2 linked regions of the Stegostoma tigrinum genome follow. Each later gene encodes a partner of the first gene's protein in a complex. Links are inferred from orthologs where the notes say so. Each region holds a gene or a part of one and is shown on either strand. Other genes may lie near its edges.

Region 1 (10,393 bases):
TGCCAACAAACTCAACTTAAAGGGAATCCAACTGTTTAAGTACTTTCAGAACTGAGTTGATAGATCAAACAAAGTTGACAGAGTCACATTCACAACATTAAACCAACTCACATTAAAGTTCATTACCATCTGCCTTTGTCAAAATAATCTCCAGCAAATCGTTATGTGACTGTGCTTGCAAAAAGGCAGCCTGGAAAATCAAAACAAAAATATCAACTTTACTACTGAGTCACCAGATTAGCTGGGAAACAGCTGCATTTTAAACATGTTTTCCACAGTGAAGAAGGCACCAAACTTCAGAAATAACAGGAAAATGGTATATGAAGCACGACAAAACATAACAGTACCATTAATACAATTGAATAGTTTACATTTTAATCAAAAACAATAAAGTGATGGCGATCTCATGAAACAAGATGCAACCAATTCACTCAACTGCAATGCGATCCCATCATACCACATAAGTTTAGAGAAAGAAAACGCGTTTCGGGATGTTGCAGAGTTGTTGTAGTACAACAGAAGATTTTCAGACGTTCTTCGCCGACTGGGACAGTAAAATAAAATCAACAACGACGAAATTTCAAAACAACACCAGCGGAGCCCTGCATTCACTGAGCCTGACCTGCACCAACCGCCTCCTCCCTCAAAAAACCTTCATTACCTACACTCGCTGTCCCTGAATACCAATACTGAATTTGCCAGGCTCCCATATCTGGACAGAGTCACCTCTGGCTCATGGAGTCGCTAATTTGAGGGGGGAAATGATCAGCATCCTCAGCAAAGGCCAAACCAATGAAGCAGCAGGGCCACCCTGCGGCACCACCAAATGCTGGAACTTTCCACCAGCCTCATGGAACGGCGCCACACTTCAGAGAGGCCCCGAAGCGGACCGGGCTCCGATCACTCGTTCTTACAAACACAGACAACGTGGGTTATTTTACTTCAGAAAAGATAATTTTAAAAAGTGTAAGTTAACCTGGCTTGTGGCACCACGCTCCAACAGGCGGCCGGCGAGAAAGCTCAGCGCTACATACGTTACCAGCAGCCCGCAACCACCACCATATCTCCATAACCACCAGCATCAACAGTTAACACTGCGCAGGCGCCGACTCACCCTCCCACCGCCCTCTGGGAGTTGTAGTCTCCGCATGGCGGCCTTGGCGTGCGCGCACGTCCATTGAAACAGCAGTTGCTGGAAAACCTCTGTCAACTCTGAGATTACAAGGTGTGGAGCTGGATGAAGACAGTAGTCCCGGCAGCATCAGAGGAGGAGGAAATCTGACGTTTCGGGTCTGGACTCTTCTTCAGAAATGGTGAAGAAGGGACCCTTTCTGAAGAATGGTCTAGGCCCAAAACTTCAGCCTTCCTGCTCCTCTGTTGCTGCTTGGCCTGCTGTGTTCGTCCAGCTCTACACCTTGTTATATCAGATTCTCCAGCACCTGCAGTTCCTACTATCTCTCTGTAAACTCTGATTTTTTTTTCTTCACCGATGCTGCCAGATCTGCTGAGCTTTTCCAGCAACATCCGTTTTTATTCCTGATTGACAGCATCCGTAGTTTTTTTTTGCGGTTTCCATTGATGCAGGCATGGTCAAGTCATCTCCTTCAATAAAGATCAGACAGTCTGGCAGCGTCTGGGGAGACAGGAAAACATAGAGTCCTAAATACCCTTTCATACTGATCAGGAATCTCTCTCTTGTTCGCATGCTGGAGGGTCATACAAGTAGATACAGAACAACAAAAACAGGAGTTGCTGGAAAAGCTCATCAGGCCTGGCAGCATCTGTGAAGAAAAAAATCGGAGTTAACTTTTCAGGTCCGGTGACCTTTCCTCTCTCAAGCATTTGAGAAAGAAAGTTCTAAGACAATTTATTCTGATGGGGTAATCATGCCATCACATACCCCAGTTCTGATGAAGGATCCCAAACTGAAACGTCAACTTTCCTGCTCCTATGATGCTGCCTGACCTGCTGGGATCCTCCAGTTCCACACTGTGTTGACTCTGACTCCAGCACCTGCAGTTCTTGCTATCACTGTTTAGCCTAGCTATGAACACTTTCCCTGGTGATCAGCTTTTGGCTCAAAGGACACTGCCAACTGCGCCACAGGATTGCATTTATTCAACATCTTTCCCAACAAGGGAATAGATTTGCATTTATTCAGCACCATTCCCAACCAGTGGCCAGCATAATCAATGAAGCACCTCGTGATGGAATACTGCCCACTCGCCTGGATGGGTGCCGCTCCAACAGTACTCAAGAAGCTTGACACCATCTAGAACAAAGCAGTTTATTTGATTGGGACCACAGCCACAAGCATCCATTCCCTCCACCATCGATGTTCAGTAGCAGCAGTGTGTACCATCTACAAGATGCACTGCAGAAATTCACCTACTCAGACAGCACTTCCAAACGCATGACCACTTCTTTCAAGAAGGACAAGCAGAGCAGGTACATGGAAAAAACACCTGCACCATCCTGATTTGGAAATATATAACCATTCCTTCAGCATTGTTGGGTCAAAATCCTGGAATTCCCTCCCGAACAACATTGTGGATCTACCTACCGCACATGGGTTCAAGAAAGCAGCTCACCACCGCATTCTCAAGAGCATATAGGAATAGAAATAGACAGTTGGGTACATCTATGAGATATTTAAAGTGATAAAAGCATTTGATAGAGAAAGTTCCAAGACAACTTCTTCTGATGGAGTAATCATTGCATCACACACATACAAATTAGGAGAACGAGCAGGCCATTCAGCCTTTTAATCCTGCATTTATATTTGAACAGATCATGGATGACCTGATTGTGGCCTCAATTTGACATTCCTGTTTACCAACATCCCTCCCAAATCTTTGGCTCCCTTATGACTATCAAGGATAATCAGCAGATCTGGCAGAAAAAGCAGAATCATGTTGAAACAGTGAATCTGCTTTCTCTCCACAGACACTGTCAGGCCTGCTGGGTTTCTCCAGAAATTTTTGTTTTAGTTTCAGATTTCCAGCATCTGCAATTCTTTGCTTCTTGTCGAGGATATCAACACGGCTTTATCAGGGGAGTGATACTTCTAAAAAATTTGATGGATCTTTTTGAGAAGATGACTAGGTGTGCAAAGGTGCAGCAATGTTGTCAACATGGACTTCACTAAGGCATTTGACAGGGTCTTGCATGGCAGACTGGTTAAGAAGCTAAGAGTCCAAGGATTCAGGGCAATTGGCAAATTGGATCCAAAATTAGCTGGTGGCACGAAGCAGGCTCGGTGTTGACTCCCTTGTTGTTTGTAGTGTAGCCTACATTCATGATGAATGTAGGAGGTATAATTAGTAAGGTAGCAGGTGACATGAAAGTAGTGAAAACAGAAGCCTTACAATAAAGGGCTATATAGTCTTATGGACTACACCAGGCTCCCTCAGCCTAGACCTAAGGCTTTACGTATTTTAAGCGCAAATGTAAAGTTCTGTGTTTCAGATGCAATCTAACTGGTCAAACTACTCAGCATTAAGCAAAACACAATGTTGTCAAATACTATGGTTAAAATATGAACGAGAAAGAACTGAGAATAATTTAAGTATATTGGAAAACTTAACAGAACATTAGGTAGACTAAATATGACTAATTAACTGTTCAAATATAGTAACATTCCATAAACACACCCCTTGGCAAAAATGTAAATTTAGAAATCAGATTTTCTCACAATCATTGCCTGCAATAGAAGAGTAATTCCTGCTTTTAGCTGAAACAGAGAGGGGATAAAAAGCTTCTACTTCTTCAAGATTCCAGCAATTTCTGCTGAATCTAAAAGCTAAAATAAAACAGAAATCCTGGTCTGTGAGGGATAGCAGAAACTGCAGATGCTGGAGAATTTGAGATAACAAGTTGTAGAGCTGGATCAACATAGCAGGCCAAGCAGCATCAGAGGAGCAGGAAGGCTGACGTTTCTGGCCTAGATCCTTCTTCAGAAATGGGGGAGGAGAAGGAGGTTCTGAAATAAATAGGGAGAGAGGGGGAGGCAGATAGAAGATGAATAGAGGAGAAGATAGGTGGAGAGGAGACAGACAGGTCAAAGAGGCAGGGAAGGAGCCAGTAAAGGTAAGTGTAGGTGGGGAGTTAGGGAGGAGATAGGTCAGTCCGGGGAGGATAGACAGGTCACGAGGCGGGATGAGGTTAGTAGCTAGGAGATGGGGATGGGGCTTGAGGTGGGAGAAGGGGGTAGGTGAGAGGAAGAACAGGTTAGGGAGGCGGGGATGAGCTGGTCTGGTTTTGGGATGCAGTGGGGGAGGGGAGATTTTGAAGCTTGTGAAGTCCACATTGATACCATTGGGCTGCAGAATTCCCAAGCGGAATATGAGGTGCTGTTCTTGCAACCTTTGGCTAGCATCGTTATGGCACTGCAGGAGGCCCAGGATGGACATGTCCTTTGAGGAATGGGAAGGGGAGTTGAAATGGTTTGCGACTGGGAGGTGCTGTTGTTTAGTGCAAAGTTGTTTAGTTCTGCAAAGCGGTCTCCAAGCCGTTTCCCCAATATGTTGGAGGCCACAACAGGAATAGCGGACGCAGTATACCACATTAGCAAATGTGCAGGTGAACATCTGCTTGATGTGGAAAGTCTTCTTGAGCCTGGGATGGGGATGAGGGGGGAGGTGTGGGTGCAGGTGTAGCGATCCCTGCAGTTGCAGGGGAAAGTGCCGGGTGTGGTGGGGCAGTAAGGGATTGTGGAGCGGACAAGGGAGTCACGGAGTGAGTGGTCCCTCCAGAAAGCAGATAAGTGTGGGGAGGGGAAAAATGTCTTTGGTGGTGGGGTCGGATTGCAGTGTTGGAGGATGATGTGTTGGATCCGGAGGTTGGTGGAGTGGTATGTGATGGTGACGGGGATTCTGTTTTGGTTGTTATTGCAGGGAGTGGTTGTGAGGGATGAGTTGTGGGAAATGCTCCCCACCTACACTCACCTTTACTGGCTCCATCCCCACCTCTTTGACTTGTCTGTGTCCTCTCCACCTATCTTCTTTTCTATCCATCTTCTATCTACCGCCCCCTCTCGCCCTATTTATTTCAGAACCTCCTTCTCCTCCCCCGTTTCTGAAGAAGGGTCTAGGCCAGACATGTCTGCCTTCCTGCTCCTCTGCCTGCTGTGTTCATCCAGCTCTATACCTTGTTATCTCCTGGTCTGTGAAGCTGGCCACACCCAACCAGGCTATTTCTGTTGTTCCAAATTAAACAAAAACCAAGGCTTTACAAACTAATTACGTTACCACAGACCGCTCCATATCTCTTGTTCAATCTCTGTCTTAAAAAATACCAGAACAAAATACACCTCTTAAAGCTGCATCATCACAATAGAGTTCAGATGAGCTGAACAGTGACAAATGGAATTTAATCCTTAACAGTGTAACATTTGAACAGGAATGCTAACTATACACGTTTTTACTCACCATTTACACAAATTTATTAAAATGTAAAAAATTTAAAAAGAACTTTGAAACAGCTCCTAAAAGGATTGTTTTATGGACTACATTAGTGCAATGCAGAATTGCAAGTTTCCTCTCCTTTGTTATTGTAATTGTCAACCCTGCTTCCACTCTGATCTGTTTATCCTTGGCCAGCCACAATCCCAATGAAAATCAGCTGGAAGAGCTGAACCTTATCTGCAACTCGGCAAATTCGACATTAGATTCAACGGTTTTACATCTCCTGACTCTATTTTCAACTTTCTTCCCCCATTGATTCAATTTTCTTGCATTTCTTTACGTTTTTTTTCTTTTACTTTGCACTCAGAAAAGCAGCCCTGTAGCCAGTCACTCTTCATCAGACCACATTTTTGATTCTTAATCAATTCTTACAAAGCCTTTCGTCATTTAAGGTCTCCCGCCCGATACCAGATCACAAGCCTACTCTTTTATACTTCCCACACCCCACATTTCTATCGTTCCTCAGGTCATAATCGACTTGAAACTAACATTATTTTCCGCACAAAATGTTGCCCAAATGACGAAGTACTCTTAACATTTTCTAATGTTATTCTGTTACAAGTCTTCCAAAACTATTTTCAACCCAGGTAACTGCATAGAGGAAAGAAACAATCAGCAGAGGCTTTGCTGTATTCAGTGATCTCTGTCTGTGTATTTGATAGTTAACAATAACCCGAGCAGGGTATTCAGGAACTTCCGGTCCCTCATTCCGGCGTTGGTTCAACTCCGGGGCGGAGAGTGCATGCGCACTTGCGATTCCTTGAAAAAGTTCATCGTTTTAACATGGGGACTAAATTCAAAGTGAGGAGTTTGAAGACTGACAGAATGTATGGAATCGTAGCCAGAGATCTGCGAGATCTAATGACAAAGGGATGCCAGAAACTGCAGGTAAAATTGATTAGATTGTGTAAAATACGTATAAATTAATTTCATGAAAGCAAGTGCCCCACAATGAACAGAGAGGCCGGAAATCTGAAGAGACATTTAATGACTTAATTACGGTGGATGTTTAAAAGCACTTCCGTGAATTTTTCTGTAGAGAGAGCTCGCCGATGTTTGCAATTTCCCTGCAGCAGAATTGAAAACGTTCACCATATTTATTAATCCAGGGTTCTCTTGTCTGCTATATAATAAAATGTGAGGCTGGATGAACACAGCAGGCCAAGCAGCATCCCAGGAGCACAATGCTGCTTGGCCTGCTGTGTTCATCCAGCCTCACATTTTATTATCTTGGAATCTCCAGCATCTGCAGTTCCCATTATCTCTTCTCTTGTCTGCGAGTGGCTGAACGGTAGGGGTGCCATATACTGCTTGATCGGAGTGCAGAGTCACATCAGTCTCACCCAATTCAGGTCAAAGGGGACCGATATCTCATGCTACTTTTGAGAATCAAGCCCTGTCGTTTCAGTGCTGTAAATTGTTTTCCCCGAAAACGAATGTTGAATGTAACTTTTGATTCGTGCTTTCCATGTCCATTTAATGGAAGTCTGTCGCCCTTAAATACCTAAATTTAAATAATCAGAAATTAGAAAGCAGATCATGAATGAAATGATAGAATTCCAGAGAGTTGAATACAAAACCCCAAGTGGCACATCAACCTTAAGAGCATGTTGCCCCCTTTACTTTGAATTAATTTGCTGAGATTTGATTTTATTTATTATTGTCACATGTACCTAAGTATTGTGAAAAATTTTGTTTTGTGTGCAGTTCGGGCAGATCATACCTTACAGAGGTAGAATAGAGCGAGAAATACAAAGTTACAGATGTAGAGAAGGTGCACAAAAACCAAGACCAACGTTGGATTTCAATTTTGAGAGGTCCGTTCAGGAGTCTAATAACAGTGGGGAAGAAGCTGTTCTTGAGCATGTTGGTACGTGTGTTTAAGCTTTTGTTATCTTCTGCCCAACAGAAGAGGTTGGAAGAGATTATAGCCAGGTTGGGAGCAGTCTTTGGTGATGTTGGCTGCCTTCCTGAGGCAGCAAGAAGTGTAGATGGAGTCAATGGATTAAAGGCTGGAGTGATGGATTGGGCTGTGTTCACAACTTTATGTAGTTTCTAACAGCCCTGGACAAAACAGCTGCCGTACCAAGCCTTGATACATCCAGATAGAAAACTTTCAATGGTGCTTCTGTAAAAGTTGGTGAGAGTCTTTATGGACATGCTGAAATTCCTTCGCCTCCTGAGGAACAAGAAGCATTGTTATGCTTTCTTGACTATTGCGTCAGTGTGGGTGGACCAGGACAGATTGTTGGTGGTCATCACTCATAGGAACTTGAGCGCACTCGACCATCTCTAACTCAGCTGTATTACTGTAGATAGGGGCGTGAGCTGCTCCTTGCTTCCTGAAGTCAATGATCAGCTCTTTTGCTTTGTTAACATTAAGGGAGAGATTGTTATCTTAAGCTAGACCAACAAGCACTCTATTTCTTCCCTATAAACTGAGGCCTGAATTTTACAATATGATTTTTAGAAAGAGAAGCGGGGAGGGGGAACGAGAGGTCTCCCCTGTGTCCTGGCCAATATTTACTCTCCAGTTGTCACCACAACACCATTATCTGGTCATTATTTTAGTATTTGTGGGATCCTTCAGTCTATAAATTAGCTGTGGTGTTTTCCTGCAACAATGGCACCATTTATGGAAAGTCGTTTAGTACCTAGATGTTGTACATAGGAATCTTTGGTTAAACATTGATATGGCCACTTAACAAATCAAAAAGTGAATTTACTCATGATGGCTGTAGGGAAATTTGCCATTCTCGGGTGGGCATTCAACCAGCACTGAAAAGAGAGACCTTGAAACTGAGTAGAATATTTCGATTGTGATAAATGATATCCACTTCAATGTGATACATTGTGACAGATCACAGAAATACTTAAGGTATTTAATGTTGACTAATTGAGACGTAGTTTCACTCCTCATAAAATTGTACATTGCACCCTTGTATTTAATTCTCACATAAAATTTGCAAATTCAGAGGAAATTCAAATATTCAGCACCAGCAGTAAGATTTTAAACTGTCAGGAACAAACCTTGAGTTTGAAGATTTGTCATTGGTGTTCCAAGAGTCAGCCATCTGCTTTAGGGACATGTTGGCAATGATGAATTCGAGACTGCCTAACTGGAAGTGCTTGGTATGACTTGGTCTGTTGTTGGAGAAACTTGTGCATAGAGTATTCAACTTTGAAATACAGCACTAATGACATACCAATAAAATGTGAAGCATTTCAAATCTAATGAAGCATATTATACCTGTGTGGACTTTTCGTTCTATTTTCTGTTGTATAACACAATGTTACTGGTATAACTAGTTAGAGGCAAAGACACATAGATGACACCACCTCATAAAACACTGTCTCATTTGCACCTATGCCAATGTTCATGTTACAGATGCCAGGAATTCTTTGGTGAACTGTTTGGAGTAATATTGCCAGTGTAATGGCAATTTGAGACAAGTCATGGGCAGCATTTGCTCAGACTCATTGGAAACTGAGTCTTCTCAGATGAAGGTTACCAATGGCTTGAAGTTATTCTATTGTATAGTTCATATTTCGAGACAAGCCTCTTGAGTTAAAAGGACCACTATCATTCCTTTAAAAGTAGCAACAAAATGATTAAAAGGTAAAGTTGCTGTCATCTTACCTTCCATATAGCTGCTCTCTTATTCGATAGAGAGAAACTACTGGTGGTAATTTAACCTGAGGGTCACTGCACCTCAGGCAAGAGGGGAGGCGAGGAAAGAGAACCCTTCATAGGAACCTCACCTGGTGCCGGACATAGAACATAGAACATTACAGCACAGTACAGGCCCTTCGGCCCTCTATGTTGTGCCGACCTGTCATACCGATCTCAAGTCCATCTAACATACGCTATTCCATGTACGTCCATATGCTTATCCAATGATGACTTAAATGTACCTAAAGTTGGCGAATCTACTACCGTTGCAGGCAAAGTGTTCCATTCCCTTACTACTCTCTGACTAAAGAAACTACCTCTGATATCAGGAATTGAATCTACACTGTTAACATCACTTTGTTTCACAAACCAGCCAATCAACCAACTGAACTAACCAACCCCCAGAAAATGATTCCAGGAAAACAGCAATAGTGTTTATTATACTTTATGATAATTGCTTGTTTTATCTTGATTAGATCCCACGTAAAGGATGTCGCATATGTTTACATAAAGATGGCACAGAAGTCCACGCTGACAATTTCTCATGTCTAGAAGATAACTGTAAGCTCATTATTCTGGAGCAGGGACAGCAGTGGGATGGAAGTAAGTACAGATTCCCAGGTTGACTAGGGCAGGCTTTGTGAGGAGTGGGAACAGATTTTTTTGGAAACATGGGAATCCTGGTTTCTCATTGATTTTTTTCAAGTCGTTTCCTCCTCTGGAAGTCAGCCTGATTGATAGGCTTGAGACTGTTTGGAGAGGGATACAACTGCTTCCATACAGTCATAAGGGCAGAGAAGAAGGTCATTTAGCCCACCAAGTCCACAACAGCTCTCTGTAGAGCAGTTTGATATGTATTATTCCGTTACGCTCTCTCTGTAGTCTGCAGTTGTATTTCCATTAAGTGCCCATCCAGTTTTGTTTCAGAATCATTTCTCCCCATGCTCATAGGCAGTGAGTTCCAGGTTATTAATTGCATGTCAGGTAATTTCACTTATAAAAAGCGTTAAATCTGTGTAAACTCATCTTTGAACCATCTAAATTGGCGCATTTTCTGGGAGATTTGTCGCAAATATATACTGTTAGTTGGTTGCTCACACAGAGATCAATGCTAATCTCTGCATTTGAGTAGGAACAGTGTTGGTGAGCATTGAGACAAGAAGACTCAGTGTCACCAAATTAGGACTTTTTGGTGTGGTTATGGGGCATTTGGGAGATGGATTACTTCATGTGTCAAGGCAACATGCTAGACTAC
Region 2 (10,092 bases), about 29 Mb from region 1:
TAATCTATTAAAAGAGGGGTTAAAAGAAAGAAAATCCCTGATCTCCACTTTACAAGTAACAAGAAACAATTTATTTATTTAACACAATGAACAAATTAACAAAATTACTAACAACAGACAATTTGTCCTTAAGTCTACTAACTACTTCCTAACTGGTCTAAATTCTACTGGAATGCTGTTTAAATAAAGACAAGTCCCACCAAGATAAACCCAATTAATAATAAACAATAAATTAAAACGTAGTCTCTCCAAGCTCACAGACTGTCTTCCGGAATATTCTGTCATCTCCAGGCTCTTCACAAACACCTTTCTTCCATTAATTCTGCAGTCAGGGATATTTTCTCTCTATAATTTCTTCAGTGAAGACTTTGAGCTAAAATACCATGGCACCTTTGATTAGTTAGATGGGCTTTCTGAGAACTGTATCGTACGAACTCTGGCAGGTGGTGGATGGCTGTCTCTTTCAGGTGGCAGTTGGCTCTCAGACTTTCCAAATGCCCTTGTCTTACACACCCCCAATGACATAATCCAGTTCTTATGATTGATTTCAGGTTGTGAACACCAGATTTAAACTCAACCGGCTTTCTGTATCTAGATGCTTCATTTAAATTAATTGGCAAAATTCAAACTTGTTGTCTCGGAAAAAAATGCTGCACGGCCGTTCTATACGAAATGTTTCCATGTGGGCACTCTCTATGCACCTGCATTTATAAGCTTCCAAGCACGGACAAAGCACAAGTTCTTAAAGGGACCACAGCACTTTTTCCCCACGATTATTTTTATCCACAAATACTAACTCCCTGCCTTCCAATCCATGAATGCTCCACCCAAATTTGTAACAGTGGCAAGGCCATTTGTTGCCCATTCTTAATTAGCCCTTGAACTGTTTGGTTTGCTATGGTCTTTTCAAAAGATAGTTAAGAGGCAACCACAGTGCCATGGGTCTGGAGCCACATGCAGTGTAGATGGGGTGAGAGCAGCGGATTTCTTTCCCTGATGATCATTAGTGAACCAGATTGGTTTTTACAATAATGATGATTATGTAACCATTATCAATTAGAGTCTTCATTTCAGATTTTATTCAACCCAAATTTCACTATCTGTCTTGGTACAATTTGAACCATATCACCAGAACTTCAGCCTGGAGTAGCAGATTACTAATCCAGTGCCATACAGCCTCCCCTAAATCCTGGTTTCCTTATTTGAAAGAAATACATGGAGAAGATACAAAGAGGTACCACAAGGCTGATACTAGAACATTGGTTTAAATGTAATCAGAAAAGATTGAACAGATGGGGACTTTCCACTCAAAGAGACGACGGAGGGGTGATCGGATAGGGACCCATGGCGCAGCAGCGATCTGGTAGATTACATGATGATTCCACATGCAGGAAGACAGATAAATCAGAACCATAAATATGATAAATAAAAACCTAATATGTAATCTAGCAGGAGCTTCTTTATCCAGGGTAGTGAGAATGTGGTACTCACACACGTTGGGTGAAACTGAAAATGGTGTACATTCCATACATCAGATAATGCAAATTGTTTTAAGGGCTTCATCTGTCTCCAAATAGATTCACATTGTGCTGTGTCAAGGAGACCTTAATATACAACTGGCTGCAGTAGAAATCATAGGAACATGCTCACACTGTGCTGTGGGAAGATAACTTTAAACATCCTCTCATCTCCTGTAACAAATTAGGTTGAGGTACTCTGACAGACCTTTACACATGCTGATTTCCTAAAGATTATTCATATGGAATTACCTTTTGGAGGTCCACTTTGAATGTTTATATACAGCCCTAAATTTCATCCTAACTTTATAATGCCCTTTATTGTGCATGTTATATACAAAAAGATATTAGAACAAATACGACTGCCTTAAAATAGATTATTTATTCAGTGACTGATCTAAATCCAGGCTAATAATACATTGCTTAAAATAGAGACAGGATGGTCCCTGCAGCTCAGATTTTCTGGGCCAAGGCACATTAGGCAGAAACACCCTGCTGTAGGAAGGATGTTATTTAACTGGAAAGATGCAAAAAAGATTTACAAGGATGTTACGGAATTTGAATGGTTTGAGTTATAAGGAGAGGCTGAATAAGCTAGGACTATTTTCCCTTGAAGCATAGGAGGCTGAGGGGTGACCTTATGGAAATTTATAAAATCATGAGCAGCACAGATAAGGAGAATAGCCAAGGTCTTTTCTCAAGGATAGGAGAGTCCAAAACCAGACGGCATAGATTTAAAGTGAGAAGGGAAAGATTTAAAAAGGTACCTAAGGGGCAACATTTTCCACACAGAGGATCGTGTGTGTGTGTGTGTGTATATACAACAAGCTGCCAGAAGAAATGATAGATGCAGGTACAATTACAACATCTAAGGGAGTTTTGGACAGGTACATGATAGGAAAGGTTTAGAGGAATATGGGCCAAATCGGATGAGTTCAGTTTTGGAAACCTGATTGGTGCGAACAAATTCAGCCAAAGGGCCTTTTTCTGTTCTGTATGATTCCAAGGCTGCTGTAAACAAAACAGAGGCAAACCCTGAAGTATCATCACAGGGCATGCCAAAAATTGCCAAAACAAAAACAAACAAACAAACAATCAAATTGTACCTAAGACTTGGTTGAGTGAAGTCCACACTCAGCCTAAAACTCCAGAATAAAAAAGGAATATGAAATACCACAAAGAAAGCAACATAGGAAGCCAATCAGATCTTAAAATTCAAGTTTCAGAATTAAATTCCATTCTGGTGACAATTGGCCACCAATTGAACAGCAAAATTCATTGAGAAATATAATTTTTTGAAACAACTTTATGAACTGAATAATTGCTTGGTAATACAAATCTTGAATCTTGCAGAAGAGACATCTTTCCAAAGTCGGGGATAGTAAGAACTGCTGATGTTGGAGTCTGAGATAACACAGTGTGGAGCTGGAGGAACACAGCGGGCCAGGCAGCAGAGGAGCAGGAAAGTTGACACTTCGGGTAGGGACGGGTCCACACCGTGTTAGCTCTTTCCAAAGTCTGATGTCTTGTCCTCTTCAGGATAAATGCAAAAATGCCAAATTTTAAACCATCAGAACTATTTATACCCAAAACTTTCCCAAATATGAATTTCTCCTCCCCAAAGAAACCTACAAAAAGTATCCAAATAATTCCACTTTGTTTGCAACACAAAAATAGGAATTTCTCATATGCAAAATACTAGAGATTCTGGAGATCTGAAGTAAAGTGCTGGAGAAATTGAGGGTCTGTCAGCATCTGTGGATAGAGAAACAGAGCTAATGTTAAGAATTATACTGGACTCAGTTTCTCTCTCCACAGATGCTGCCAGACCCTCCGAGTTTCTCCTGTACTGTTTCACATGATTACTTTCTAAAAAAATGACTGCTTGGAGCATACAAAAATATCTGGGATGGATTTAGAAGCAAATTTGATCAAAGAATCGAAGTTAACTTGCGAAACCGGAAACTGTGAACTGGAGAAAATAAATTATGTGACCTTGGGGAAAAACACACTTACGGTCTGACACACACAGCCATGCTGGCTTGGTGCAAAAATAACAGAAGAAGGAGTCCCACATTCCCCACCTTTACCTTGTAAACCTGCACATACACTCTGGAAATGAAAAAAGAAAACATTAGGAATGCTAAGCAGGTCGAGCAGCATCTGTGGTTGAAAACCAAAGAGAACTGTGGTTGCTGTGAATCAGAAATTGCTGGAAAAGCTCTGAAGGTCTGGCAGCATCTGTGGAGAGAAATCAGAGTTAACATTTTGGGTTGAGTGCTCCTTCGTCCAGTCACCTGACCTGAAACGTTAACTCTGATTTTTCTCCACAGATGCTGCCAGACCAGCTGAGCTTTTCCAGCAATTTCAGTGTTAGCATCTGTTGTTAACTTGGATTCTACATCCACTCAGTTCAACAACCTTACACCACAACCAGATTAGAAGTTGAAGTTGAGAGCTTGGTCAGTAACTATCTAACCTTCTGAATATCCCCAGAATCTTCCCGTTTTACCTAAGTTCCCCAACATTGTTTACTTAGTTACAAGAACAAAAGCATTTTTGGTCAATAGTGCTGTTTAGTTTGGATAGATACTATCGGCACTCAACAACACATGGCCACACCCAGACCGAGACAGCGGAAATGCAAAATGAAAAATAAATAAACTGAAAAACAGTATTATTGGCATATAAGTAAATGCATAATTATCAGCATAGCTAACAGCTAAAAACTGAAACATCAAGAAAAGGGCATTAGAAACAAGATCAGAGGCTGACCACAAGCTCTCAAAAAAACTGAGCATTGAATGGAATCTCAGGTTTATCCAGTGTATTTTTTCCAAATAACCTCATATCTAATAAACACACTCATATACCTTGTATTCCTCTAAAAGCAGTGAGACGGAGACGAAGTGAAGCATAATAAGTACTTCATAGACAAAAAATTACCAAACACATAAATACGATTGCCCCTTTTTAATGCACTGGACTTCACTCTGATCTGACAGTACTTCTACAAGGGAAAAGCGATTATAGTATCTGGGTTACTGACGTTTCTGAAAGCGAACAAAAATAAACCAGTGATTTGGATCAAATTCCCAAATGGTAATGGAGGAAAGGAAGGACATGCAGGCAAAGGAGTGTCAGCGAAGAACAGAAGGCAAGGGGAAGAAGGGGAGAAGGCAACAGAGTAGGGGAAAGGAGGGGTGGGCAGAGGGGCAGAGCAAGAGATGGGAGGAAAGGCAATGAACAGAAGAGACAGCACGTATGTTGGGGAAAGTGCAAGCGAGGATGCGTGGAGGGATGAGGGGGGAAGACAACATGAAAGGGGATGAAGCAAGAAGGGAGATATCATGCGAGGGCATGTTAGGAGAGGCGCAGGATGGGGGGGGGGGTCGGTTGAGCGTCAGCCGTGTGGGGGGGCAGCTGACGGTGAACTGGGGGCGGGGGTAGAAGGCGGGTTAAGGTTGAGAGAGAAGGTAATGTGAGGGTGAGAGGTGGTGATGGTGGTGGGGGAACAAGAGATTGATTTGGGGGGAAAGGGAAAGGGGGTATGAGGCAGGCAAAGGAAATGTATGGGTGAGTGAGGTTGGAGGAGAGCTGTGAAGGAGGTGAGTGGGGAAGGGAGAGGTGTACAGGACGTCGGGGGAGGGGGGGATGTGAGCGGAAGGGATGTAGGGGATAAAGTAATGGGATAGCGATTGAGGTGGGAATGGAGGGGAGGTAAGTTTGAGGGAAGGTGGGAGATGTGTATGGGCCACCCCGGGGTTTCTTACCTGTCGCGGCTCCGCCTGCTCAAAGGACGCCATCTTTATGGACCAGAGCAACCGATCATAGCACGGTCGCTCTCCTGTGCCCGAGGCGACAATATCGATCGCAGAACCCCTCAATCACCAACGACAAGGACAAAAACATCACCTTTTCTGGTAAAATGAATTCAAGTAGAGATTTATAAAATCCTAACCTGATGTAAAATTGTGGATTATATTCAGAACATACAGAAAATTAACGGACCGTTGGGGCCGAAGCATTATGGGAGTTGTAGTTTTTATTCTGGGTTGGCATGATCACACTCAGGCCGTCGCTTTATTTTTTTCTCACAGTGGACCTTTTAAATGTTTTTTTAAGCTTCCGACAATCCACAGCCATGGCTATAATCATTTTTCTCCCTCGTTAATTCAGACGGGGAAAAAAAATTGTCGGTTTGGAGCGCATGCGCAATAACAGCCAGCCACCACTACTACAACAACAACTGGGAGGGACGGTGCAGAACATCTGTGGGGAGAGGGAATTGTATATTTACATTACTTTGCGGCATCAGCTCTCTGTCCTAGTGTCCCTTGTTGCCATTAGCGGACTCTCGAAGTTCAGTTACTGTGGGAAACGCAGGGACCTGGTTGTGCACAGCAAGATCCCACAACAGTAAGGTGAAGAGCTACCAGATAATCTGCTTATAAGTGTTTGGGGGGGCGCTCCTCACCCATTAGTCTTAAGGTATCTAGACCATTCGCCTTCGAAAGCAAACCAGGTCTCTCTCTGCCTCACTCCTGGAGAGGGCAGGGGGTGTTCAGCCATGGATCAAGAAAGAAGATTTCCCTGCAAAATCTGTGGCTCTAGCCGTCTTCAAACGTTCGGCGTCGTCGTGAAGTCTTTGGAAGATCTGGTAGCCAAAGGTAACCATTCAGAAGCCCTTGTCACCTTGGTACACAAGCGAAGCCAGAAAGACTGTCATTGTTTGGTATGCTGGCTCCCTGGCCCCATCCCATTTTTAAACTTCCATCGGATGGGGAGGTGGGCCACGGGCAACAGGGCATATGTAGCAGGTCTGACACCTTAATAACAGTCATATTAAGTCAATCCAGGAGGCTCTTGTGGTGTAGTTGCAGTGTCCCCACCCCTGGGCCAGGATGCTGTGAGTTCAAATTCCACCTGCAAAAGCTTGTAATAACGTGTCTAAGATAACAAAGTGTGGGGCTAGAAGAACACAGCAGGCCAAGCAGCATCCCGCACACTTTGTTATCTTGGATCCTCCAGCGTCTGCAGTTCCCATTATCTCTAATAACATGTCTAAATAGGTTGATTAGAAAATACCTAAGCCTGATTAAATGAGGCCATTAAGATTTGTCTTGTATCAGAGATAGTAGGAACTGCAGATGCTTGAGAATCCAAGATAACAAAGTGTGGAGCTGGATGAACACAGCAGGCCAAGCAGCATCTCAGCAGCACAAAAAGCAGAGAGGCTCTCTGATGAAGGGTCTAGGCCCGAAACGTCAGCTTTTGCGCTGCAGAGATGCTGCTTGGCTTGCTGTGTTCATCCAGCTCCACGCTTTGTTATCTTGGATTCTCCAGCATCTGCAGTTCCTACTATCTCTGATACAATTTTAACCCCACTGCAAAGCCTCTTCCAGGGATGCCTAACCTGAAGAAGTTACCCTCCTCCCTCCGGACCAACCTCAGGGAATCTCTCTCCCACTGCACCATCTTCGGTCCGCCTCCCCCTCTCTCCCTATTAATCCAGTTCCCTCTCCCCATCCCCCTCTCTGATGAAGGGTCTAGGCCCAAAACGTCAGCTTTTGTGCACCTGAGATGCTGCTTGGCCTGCTGTGTTCATCCAGCTTCACACCTTGTTATCTAAGATTTGTCTTGTGCTGTTCCACTTTCAAAATCCATTTTTAAGTTTAGTGCCTAAAAAATTAGGATAGAGTGAGTCTGTGTTGAAGTGTGCATTCTTATCCTGTTTCATTGTTCCTGTCAAACTCAAAGACTTGCTTCTAGCTTTGGAGTCCACCAAGCAAGTTAACTGAGTGCCCATGAAGGTTGCAAAGAGTGTTCTGAAGAAGTCATTCCGGTGCAAAATGTTAACTCTTGTTTCTTCACAGATGTTGCCAGATCTGCTGAGTTTCTCCAAATCCTTGGTGTGTTGCTTTGTTAGAAACAGTGTTAGTTTCTCAAGTTAGAAAACATCTATTATTACAGTTTTTTTTGTTACAGATCTGTACTTGTGATTTTAATTTACAGCCTCTTAGCTTTCTGTCTGACCTGTCCCAATAGATGGAGCTGGTTCACGGCATAAAGAGGCTTTTACCTTGGTTTGTAACTCATGGACTTTGAATCTAATAACCTTGGTTGTATAAATATTGAAAAAGATTTAAGTCACATGCAATTACCCACTCAAAGTAAATTTGGCTGGGTTATAAAGAGTTCTGATTGCCTTGACATGGATAGAATGATGCGTACAGAGTTTGCCTCTTCTACCCTAACTGTTTTTTTCATTGTACTGCAGCAGGATGTTGAAATGACCCATCTTGATGTATAACATGTACATATTTTTCCAGTGAGGCTCATTGTAAGCTTGAAGAATTGCACCCACTAAAAAAATGACTGCTTAGAGCATACAAAAATATTTGGGATGGATTTAGAAACAAATTTGATCAAAGAATCGAAGTTAACTTGCAAAACTGGAAACTGTGAACTGGAGAAAATTAATTATTTGACCCAGGGGCCCATGTATGAGAATCAAAAAGGTTCAGAGTTGGAGGAATTCAAGGGAGGGTAGCAAATTGAATCCAAAAGTGACCTTGTGTTGGAGGAAGCAAAGGGTGACGGTTGAAAGTATTTTTTGTGACTGGTGGAATTCCACAGGACTTAGTACTCATTCCCTTGCTTTTGGTAATTCATATCACTAATATAGACACCATTGAAGGAGGCATGATAAAGAAGTTTGCAGATAATACAAATGTTGGTCGTGTAGTTTGTGGTGAGGAGGAAAGTTTTAGACTGCAGGAAGCTAGAGATGATCTGGTTATTTGGGCAGAAAAGTGGAAAATGGAATTCAATCCATTGAAGTAGATAGTGCATTTTAGGAGGTGCAACAAGACAACGGTAATACACATTAAATATGAAGGTACTCAGTTATGTGGAAGAGCAGAGAGACTTTGGAGTGGATGTCAACAGATCCTTAAAAGCAGCAGGACAAGCTATAAAATGATTAAATAGAATATAATTATGGTTTCTTTTATTAGCCGAATCATAGAATATAACAGCAGGGAGACTATTCCAGCATTTTTTTACACTGCTGGTTAGAGGACCATTGTTACAAATGTGAGGCTGCATAAAATGATTATGTTTAGACTAACTCCTTTAATTAAAGATAAAATAAAATTGTGTCTGTTGATCTGCCCAGCAACAAGTCCAAGTGATCTGACTGCCTTGGGGACAGGTCCCTAACACCTGGAGACAAAGGATTACACAGCTGGCCTTAGTAATACCAGAAATACTGACTGAGACATCCTGGACAGAAAGGGAGATAAGGGAGCAGCAGCTGCTGTCAAAAGCAGAGGTAAAAGGCTGCTTTCTGTGAACCAGCAGGTGGATTTCTGCTGAGGACTCCTTCTCTGCTACAAGAGACAGAGTTGTGGAGATTTCTGGACAAAAATCCCATGTGTGACTAGAAAGAGTTGGGTTAGGGATTCTCAGAAGACAAGTGGAAATGACTTTCAACAGACACTACAAAACGGGAAAATGAGCTTTTTAGAAGTTGGCGGTACCTTTGGTCTGGTTGCTGTAAAGATGTCAGTTTTGCAGAGAAAGCACAGAGAACAACACAGCACAGGACTAGGCCTTTCAGCCCACCAAGACTGCACTGATTTCTACTTCTTACTTAGACCAACTACTTATCACCCATACTCAGTCACTATCTCTCTCTTCACCTCCTTTTCGTGTGTCTATCAAGATACACCTTAAATCTTGCTAACGTGCTTGCTTCCATTAGCTCCACTAAAAGCACATTTCAGACACCCAAAACCCTGTGTGTGAAAAATGTTCTACACACTTCTCCCCTAAAATTTCCCCCTCTCGCCTTGAACCCGTATTCTCTTGTAGTTGACCTTTCCACCTTGGGGGGAAAAGCCTCTGACTATCCATCCTATCTATGTCTCTCATAATTTTGTAGATCTCAATCAGACCACCCCTCAGCCTCCATCTTTCCAGTGAAAATAATCCAAGTTTATCCAACCTTTCCCCATACCTAAAACTCCCCAGACCAGGCAACATCCTGCTAATTCTTCTGTGCACCCTCTCCAAAGCATCCACATCTTTCTGGTAGCATGCAGTATTCCAAATGTGGCCTCACTAAAGTTTTATACATCTGTAACACTACTTCCCACCTTTTATATCCAATAGCCCAGCCAATGAAGGCAGTGTGCTAAATGCCTTCTTGACCCTTAATGCATCTGTGTTGCCACTTTCAGGTGTCTGCGGACCTGTACACCCAGTTCCCCCTCTATGTCAATGCCCCTAGGCCTCTGCCATTTATTGTATAATTTGTACCTGAATTTGTTCTTCTAAAATGCATCACCACACATTTGTTTGGATTGAATTCTCTCTGCCATTTCAGTGCCCAAATCTGCAATCTATCTATACCTTACCTTATCCTTTGACAATCCTCACTATCTACAACTCTGCCAATTTTGGTGTCATCCACAAAAATACTAATCAGACCACCTATTTTTCTTTCCTGCAGATCATTATTTATATTAGAAACAACAAAAGTCCCAGCACTGATCCTAGTGGAACACCA

Evidence for each region.
Region 2: the proteins of dffb (region 1) and dffa are in contact, whole or in part, in an NMR structure (PDB 1F2R), measured with the Mus musculus proteins. The link is inferred for Stegostoma tigrinum from reciprocal best matches to the Homo sapiens genes DFFB and DFFA. Residues at the interface, in NP_031885.3 of Mus musculus: Cys10, Lys12, Arg14, Ala19, Cys20, Lys21, Phe22, Gly23, Val24, Ala25, Ala26, Arg39; in NP_001020467.1 of Mus musculus: Asp66, Thr68, Ile69, Val70, Asp71, Asp72, Asp74, Tyr75, Trp94, Tyr96, Asp100.

The regions. Positions count from the first base shown.
Region 1 is NC_081381.1:42,891,307-42,901,699, reverse strand, and holds the start of dffb (DNA fragmentation factor subunit beta), read left to right. Parts: upstream 1-6,209; 5' UTR 6,210-6,248; coding exon 6,249-6,353; intron 6,354-9,614; coding exon 9,615-9,741; intron 9,742-10,393. UniProt on the Homo sapiens protein: Nuclease that induces DNA fragmentation and chromatin condensation during apoptosis. Degrades naked DNA and induces apoptotic morphology.
Region 2 is NC_081381.1:13,579,833-13,589,924, forward strand, and holds the start of dffa (DNA fragmentation factor subunit alpha), read left to right. Parts: upstream 1-5,224; 5' UTR 5,225-5,290; coding exon of another isoform or gene 5,291-5,323; 5' UTR 5,324-5,440; intron 5,441-5,473; exon of another isoform or gene 5,474-5,696; 5' UTR 5,697-6,087; coding exon 6,088-6,187; intron 6,188-10,092. Other genes in the region: peroxisomal membrane protein PEX14, read right to left, coding at 5,291-5,323. UniProt on the Homo sapiens protein: Inhibitor of the caspase-activated DNase (DFF40).